Mus musculus: one gene and its partner. The protein of the gene in region 2 interacts with the protein of the main gene of each other region in a biochemical or structural test. Links are inferred from orthologs where the notes say so. Each region holds a gene or a part of one and is shown on either strand. Other genes may lie near its edges.

Region 1 (4,493 bases), on a different chromosome or scaffold from region 2:
GTTATGGATGACGTTGGTCAGGGTCCAGACAACAGGAATGCTGAAGAAAGGGATGCTGAGGAGAACCACATGCAGCAGTCCTACCAAGATGATGTAGGCCAGCCAGATGCCCCGACTGTTCATCACTCGAGTGTTGGGGTTTACTTCGCTGTGTGCCACCCCCACATTCATCCTACCACAGTGAGGGATCAGGCAGGAGTCCAACTCAGTCTCCTCATTAGCCCTGATTGAGCTTGTTCCCCAGCTGTCTCCTGAAAAGCCAAAATCCCCTGAAGTCTTGGGAATGAAAGAATTTCCCTACCATGCAAAAAAAGGAAAAACTGAACACTTTGTTAAAACTTGAGAAGAGGTGAAGCAGCTGGGTGTGGTGGCTCATGCTTGTAATCCCTGAATTTAGGAGGTTGAGGCATGAGAACTGTTTGACCTTTCTCCAAAACAAACAAAAAGGCAAGAGGGTCTTCGAAATGACTAAGGTGGAAAAGGTATTTGTCACCATGCCTAAAGACCTGAGTTGGATCCCCAGGACCCATGCAGTGGAAGGTGATAACCAACTCCGGAAAGCTGTCTTTTGACTTCCGTACCTTCAGTTGTTAGTGTGTATACTCACACAAGTGGGGTTTTTACTCAGATCTTTACATTTCAACTAAATATAAAGCAGTAAGTTTAGACTGTGAGACCTATTTGAAGGATCGGAGGAATCGGGAGTATTTTAATTTACTTTCTTGAGGAAGTTAGTGAATTATAAAGAGGTCACACATACCCAGAGTTCCACAAGAAAGCTATTCAGTTAATCAAGGGACCAATAAAGAAGGCACTGAGAGTAAAGCTACCTCTAGTTCCCATCCTTTTTTCCTGGGGCTTGTCCATCCTGTCTCTCACCCGCTTGGCATTGTCAGCAGCCAAGCAATTTCATCCCTTCACTGAACGTGGGGCGCTGCAAAAACTTACCCAATTTTTAAATTAGTCTAGGAAGGGGTCTGAGCTCAGTCCCTCAAGAAATGGGAGTCCTTCCCTTCTAGGAGCGGTTTTAGTTTTTAAACTTCTGCAAGCTCTAATGCCTACTTTTGTTTTTTGTTTTGTTTGTTTTAACCCGCTCTTGCCTGTCCCACAATTCCCCAAATCAATTACAGAGTCCGCCCATGCTCCTCCCAGAGTCCCAGTTTCGCATGTCACTTTCTTCACGGGATCTCTCGAATCTAAGGTTGTCGTTTCGCCGCCCTTCCCAATACTCCCACCGATTTCTCTCTGTAACTTTTTAAAGTTTCACGGGGCCCATACCTGCCAGCTTCAGGAGCCCGTCCGGCTTGGGGCACAGCGCTGGCTCTTACACCTGTGGTCTCCAGGAAGTGGCCGACTTTCGCCCTGTCTGCGCTCTCCCTATTGGCGGAACAGAATCCGCGCTGTCCCCAATCATTGGTTGGTTACGCAATGGAGACGTACAATTGGTCGCCTTTTCTCTCGTTAGGCCATGCAAACCCCGCCCTCCCCTGGATCCACCTTTTTAGAGAGCCGTGGAAAGTGGCCAAGAGGCGTGAGAGCGCCGCCGCCGCTGACTAATGGGAAGAGCCGTTGGTGTGAGGTGGGAGCAAGAGAAACAGCGATTGGTTGGATGAGCCTAAGCGCCTGAGGTGGGGGCCAGCGGTGGGGGTCCGGTGGACTGAGGCGCATCAAGATGGCGGCCGAGACGGTGGAGCTCCACAAGCTGAAGGTACCGTTACGCGGGGAAGGCTGAGGTGGGGTTTCCTGGAGCCTAAATTCTACGCGGGGCCCTGCGCGGCCTTATTCCACGTGTTTTCCTGTCAGGCGCCCGCTTACACTTCTTTCCTGGCTCCCGTTGTTGTTTTGTGCCTCCTTTCTTAGGCCTACCTTGAACTTCGTTTCTCCTCAGTAATTTATCGCTATCGTTACCTGGTGTTTACCTGCTGTTACCTGTTCTTCTCATTGTTTTTATTACCTGCCACCCTTCCCTGCTCGGCTGTGAAGCGCCTTCTATCTTTTATACCCCTTTCTCATTTAATCTTCATTACGTCAGTGGTCCTTCCCCCGTGTCCCATGCTGACCCAAAGTTATGGTTTGTTTGTCCGTCCCCCCCGCCCCCCAACGGATTGATGTAGTCACTCCTCTTGTCCCAAAGCTGGAATTCCTCAGTTAACATATAGTGGCATTTTTGCATGTTTTGCTGAATATGTCCCAAACATAACCCAGAAAGTGCTTCCGTTCTCTTTTAACAAGGTGGGGTTAAGACCCCGCACTCGAATTTTTAAAATCAAGGAGAGGAGAGGCCTTAAGATAGGTTTCTCGGTGGAAACCTGGGGTAGAGGCTTCTCCAAAAGGTTGTAAGATGGCAAACACATCAATCCTAAAAGTTTTTCGAGTTTTCTCAGGAGGTTCTCAATGACCTGCCCTCCCTCCCCTGACTATCCTACCTCTAGAGAGAGAACGTGTAGGGTAGATAGCTGTAATATGAGAGGTGTATGAAGTATGTTTGAAAACCTTAGGATTTTGTTTGTCCTTTTAACCTTTGGGAAGGATCCCAGCTCTCTTGATGTCACCCCCAACTCCCTTTTTGGGTCTATTTTTGTTATTTCCGTGTGTCTGTGTGAGTATATGATGGATGCATGCTCTTGGAGGTTAGAAGAGGGTGTTGGATCCCCTGGAGCTGGAGTTACAGGCAGTTTTGAGCAGCCTGATGTGGGTGCTGAGAGTAGAATAATTTGGGTCCTGAAGAGCAGTAAATGCTCTTCACAACTGAGACATCTTTTCAGGATGCCTTGGTGTCACTTCTTGATAACATTCTTGAACCACAGGATCTATTGAGTTGTACATTTTGGTAACCCGAGGTTCTTTTCTTGTATGTAGACTTGCCCTTCAATTATTATTCTGTAAGGACAGTAATTCCTTTTATGAAGAATTAAGAAACTGTGTTGAGGCTGGAGAGATGGCTCAGCGGTTGAGAGCCCTGACTGCTCTTCCAGATGTCCTGAGTTCAATTCCCAGCAACCACGTGGTGGCTCACAACCATCTGTAATGGGATTTGGTGCCCTCTTCTGGTGTGTCTGAAGATAAATACAGTGTACTCATATACATAAAATAAATAAATAAAATTTAAAAAAAGAAACTATGTTGATTATTGTTTGTGTTTCAGAAGAAGCTTTACCGTTAGTTGTTTTGGTCACCTTATTCTGGGAATCTCATACAAATCAAATTTAATACAAACTGAGAACTGTTCTTACTGAGACATGATCTCACTCTGTAGCTCTAGCTGGCATGAAACTCACAGAGATCCTACCTTTATGTCTCCCAGGTGTCAGGATTAGAGACATTAACTGTCATGCCCAGTTTTTTGTTGTTGTTTTGGGTTTTTTTTGTTTTTTTTTTGTTTTTTTTTTTTAATAGTTGTTTTTAATTATTGGATTGTGATGATTTTTAAAAAAATATTTATTTATTTTATGTGTCAGGTATTTTGTATGTATGGATGTCTGTGTACCTGCACAATTACAGATAGTTTTTAGTCTCAATGTATGTGCTGGAAATTGAACCTGGGTCCTCTGAAGGAACAGTCTGTGGTCTTAACTGTTGAGCCATTTCTCCATCCATGAAAACTCTTCCTTCCTTCTTTCTTTTCTTAAAAGTTAATAATTGGGTCTGGAGAAATGGCTTAGTGGTTAGGAACACTCTTTCTTCCAGAGAACCTCAGTTTGGTTTCCAGCACCAAAATCATGTGGCTCACAACTACCTGACTACACCAGCTTCAGGGGATCGGATTTTCTCCTCAGTGTCTTCAGGCACCTGTTTCCTGTGTCACGCTCGCGCGCGCGCGCACACACACACACACACACACACACACAGAGAAAACTTTTTTAATCTTGAAAAAAAAAACTTAAAAATTGCTGCGTTTTTGTCTTTAAAACTTGTAAATGAAGGTGCTTAGAAAAAGCCCTTATAATTTAGTCTGTTAAGGTGACTTTATTGTTTGAAAGCAAATGTGTTTCTTAACTGTTGGACTCTCAAATTTCATTATTAGATTTTTATGTTATTCTAATTACTGTTAACTTGATGTAGCTATAATGGATTATGTTTTCTAATGATTACTTGAACAAATAAGGAAGAATTGAGCAACTACCTCCATTTTTTAGTCTACGTAAGTTATGTAGTTCTGTACTGTTACACATGCTATAAAACATACACAGAAAATTAATTTTTAGGTGAAAGAGATTAAAAATTAGTGGGCTATTGGGTATTCTCTTGTTTGTTCCCCTTTTGAAGTCCTGGTGTAAGTCACCAGTTGTCCCATGACTTTCCTTTATGGATATTGTATGTGTTTATGGAGTTCCTCCTTCCACCATATGAGTATTTGTTAGTTAATAAGCTTGCATTTGATTGAGTACCTCACTTATCTAATGTTTTCTGACCTGATTTCAGGTATATAGTCTTAAGAGAACACAAGGCAGTCCTGAGGGTGTAAGCAGGACTTACTCTTTAATCACATTTGC
Region 2 (3,148 bases):
GCAGCACATACTCACGGCTGTCATTCTGCCTTCTGTTCCTGCCACCTTTCGGCCTTTGACCCCACTTCATATAAAGAAGGGATGCAAACCCAGCAATGAGCCCTGCCACGGGGCAAGGGGTCGCTGGTCCTGCTTCTGGTTGTCTCTGCCTCACCACAGCTACTGCCTACCAGAGAAACAGAATGCAGCCAGCCCAGACCTGCAGCCCACTGCCTGGTACACGAGGCAGGCAGTCCTAGGACAAAGGGAAGAGCCCTTGAGACCTGGGCTCTTTGCCAGGGTGCTGGGTTCAGTTTCCTTAAGCTAAGACTGTGGATGCCACGTCAGCCACTGAAGCCCGCCTGCTGCTGAGGCTCACGGTACAGAGGCCTCGCTGCTCCACATCCAGGGCAGAAGGTCTCACAGCTAAAGACTAGGTTTTGTAATTTTTTTAACCTGTAAACCTTTCAATGTTGACACACAAAATTAAATATCATATTGATAAAAAAGATGGCACGTTTGCTGGTGAGAAGTTTGCTGGCTTGACCCAACCCCATGAGATGTTGACCGAAAGGGATGGGGCTGGAGCCATGCATTCACAATAAAAGTTTATTCTTACATCACTAAAGCTTTGGAACAATAAAAAGAGACATCGATTTGTCACCTAGAAAGAGGTTCTGAAGCAGCAGGTGGGAAAGAGAGTGGCCATGTTGCCCTGGCTACACATACGGTTACCGGCTCTGCTCAACTGTAAAGACAAGAAAGACACAGTGAGTGAGGATAGAGGGCCTTTGCTCCTGAAGCCCCGCTCCTGCCCTGAGTGGCTCCAGGTACTCACTGTATGTGGAGATATCTATTTCCTCTGGAAGCTCAGCTACATTCACTTCAAACCGGTCCTGAACATCATTAAGGATTTTGGCATCATTTTCATCCGATACAAAAGTGACTGCCAGGCCCTTGGTACCAAAGCGACCAGCACGAGCCACCTGCAGAGAGATGGTCAGGAGACAGTCACTCCTGAGGATCTGAGAAGGGTGGGGGAGGTCCTGAGCCCGCCCACACTGGGAGGAGGCGCTCACTCGGTGAAGGTAGGTGTCTGAGTCCTCTGGCATGTCATAGTTGAAGACAATGTTGACTCGCTCAATGTCCATACCTCTGCCAAACAGATTAGTAGCCACCAGGATTCGTCGCTGGAAGTCCTTGAACTGCTGGTATCGGGACAGGCTAGAGCGGGAGACAAGCAGAGGCATTAAACCCGAGTCCCAGGTGTGAGCAGCCTTGGCCCTGGTGGACATCACTCACTCATGCACTCACCGCTCCTCCTGGGCCATGCCTCGGTGAATAGCGATAGCTGGGAAATTCTGCTCCACTAGGAGCTGGGCCAGGGCCATGCAGCGTTGCACAGACTTGACAAAGATCACCACCTGAAGAAGAAGGGTGTTTAGGCGCATAGATAATCACCCCACAGGCCCATATCTTGGTGTGGAAGGAAGGAAGGAAGGAAGCATCACCTGGTTAAACTCTAGCACGTCGAGGAGGTCGAAGAGCTTACGGTTCTTCTCACTGTCCTTGAGCTTGACGTAATACTGCTGCAGCCCATGCAGTGTGAGCTTGGTCTCGTCGTCCACAAACACCTCCATAGGCTGTGTGGGGAGGGAAGCAGGAAGGGGCGAGTAGGGCTCACTTCTGGGCGTCTCATGTGCCCGGAACCTTCCAGAGAGCAGCTCCTCTGTATTGATGATTCCCAGAGGGCCTGTTGCACCCAACCTCAGTAAACAATTCTCTCCCAAAAGCCGGATGTAAGCTCTGCCTCTGGCTCAGGTGTGGACCACTCAGCTCCCAGTTTGACAAACCAGGGGAAGGAAGGAGGCCGGCGAAGCCTCCTAGCATCCTCCAGGCCATGAGAGCAGTGTGCTTGTCGCAGAGTGGCCCAGCCCATCAGAGAGGGCCAAAGCTGCTGCGCTGAGGTGTTGGCCACGGTGGGCAGGCAGCCAGCCAGCTGGGGCGTCACCCTACTCACATCCTGCATGAACTTCCTGCAGACTGGCCGGATCTCCTTGCTCAGGGTGGCGCTGAACATCATACACTGCTTCTCGTGGGGTGTCAGACGAAAGATCTCCTGTACATCCCGGCGCATGTCTGGATGGGATGCCAACAAATCGCAAGCCTGAGTGTCTTGTCTGACTGAGCAGACCCACAGCAGAGAGGAACCAGCCCTTCCCAACCTGGACCGGACAACACTGGCACCATAGCCGTGGTGGAGTGGGCCCAGGGGTGTCCCCGCTGCCTGAGGGGCTGGGCTCGGATGGGCGGGAGCGCAAGCATGGGAGGAGCTGCGGTCCACTTACTCGCTGCCAGCATGGAGCGGCTGCCAGTGCGCCTTGAGCCACGCTTCAGGAAAGGGAGCCTGAGGCAGAGACAGCCACTGGCGTGAGAGCTGCAGCTGCTTCCCAGGACACATGCCCATCTCTCCCAGCCCCTGATGGTGGCTGAGGCCACTCTACTCCTCTAGATTCCCTAAAGGGCTGGCAGCTCATGGGGCCTAGGGTCCAGAAGCAGCACATACTCTGTAACCTCAGAATTCCCCTTAGGCTTCTCCTAGAAACCCTGAGTTCTGGCCACCCATGTGACCCACTATAAGAGCCACCTCTGCCTGCCCTATCAGGCCCCCTAGAAAACGGCTGTGACTCTATGAGTGGGAAACCAGCTGGACAGGACAGTAGGATGCTCACCCAGCTGTTCCAGCATCTTGTCACATTCATCTAGCACAAAGTGCTTCACATTCCTCAGGTTGAGGCTCCTGCTCCGCACAAGTGCCAGGATCCGGCCTGGTGTCCCCACCACAACATGAGGACAGTTCTTCTTCAACACATCTTCATCCTTCTTAATGGAGAGGCCTCCAAAGAACACAGAAACCTATGGGGACAGAAAGAAAGCTGTTTCCACCATCTGGGGGCAGTGATCCTTACAGCATAGGTCCCACCCATCCTGAGGGGACCTGACACTCCAGCCCCACTCCCTCAGAACCCAGGCGGGGCCGAAAAAACAGGGCAAGGCTGAGGTATGTGGGACCAGCACAAGCCTTGTGGGTTGGGCATAATTCATCAGGCTCATAAGGAACATAAGTTAGCATAAACCTCAAGATTGAGAAATGCTGCTTGAGCTGACA

What was found.
Region 1: the proteins of Ddx39a (region 2) and Sarnp form a complex in vitro, tested with the Homo sapiens proteins (2 studies listed by BioGRID). The link is inferred for Mus musculus from reciprocal best matches to the Homo sapiens genes DDX39A and SARNP.

Annotation. Positions count from the first base shown.
Region 1 is NC_000076.6:128,820,264-128,824,756, forward strand, and holds the start of Sarnp (SAP domain-containing ribonucleoprotein), read left to right. Parts: upstream 1-1,500; 5' UTR 1,501-1,672; coding exon 1,673-1,708; intron 1,709-4,493. Other genes in the region: Ormdl2 (ORM1-like protein 2), read right to left, coding at 1-171. UniProt on the Homo sapiens protein: Binds both single-stranded and double-stranded DNA with higher affinity for the single-stranded form. Specifically binds to scaffold/matrix attachment region DNA. Also binds single-stranded RNA. Enhances RNA unwinding activity of DDX39A.
Region 2 is NC_000074.6:83,720,704-83,723,851, reverse strand, and holds the end of Ddx39a (ATP-dependent RNA helicase DDX39A), read right to left. Parts: intron 2,896-3,148; coding exon 2,712-2,895; intron 2,387-2,711; exon of another isoform or gene 2,341-2,386; coding exon of another isoform or gene 2,328-2,340; intron 2,119-2,327; coding exon 2,000-2,118; intron 1,623-1,999; coding exon 1,491-1,622; intron 1,404-1,490; coding exon 1,294-1,403; intron 1,204-1,293; coding exon 1,059-1,203; intron 966-1,058; coding exon 818-965; intron 728-817; coding exon 711-727; 3' UTR 501-710; downstream 1-500. UniProt on the Homo sapiens protein: Helicase that plays an essential role in mRNA export and is involved in multiple steps in RNA metabolism including alternative splicing. Regulates nuclear mRNA export to the cytoplasm through association with ECD.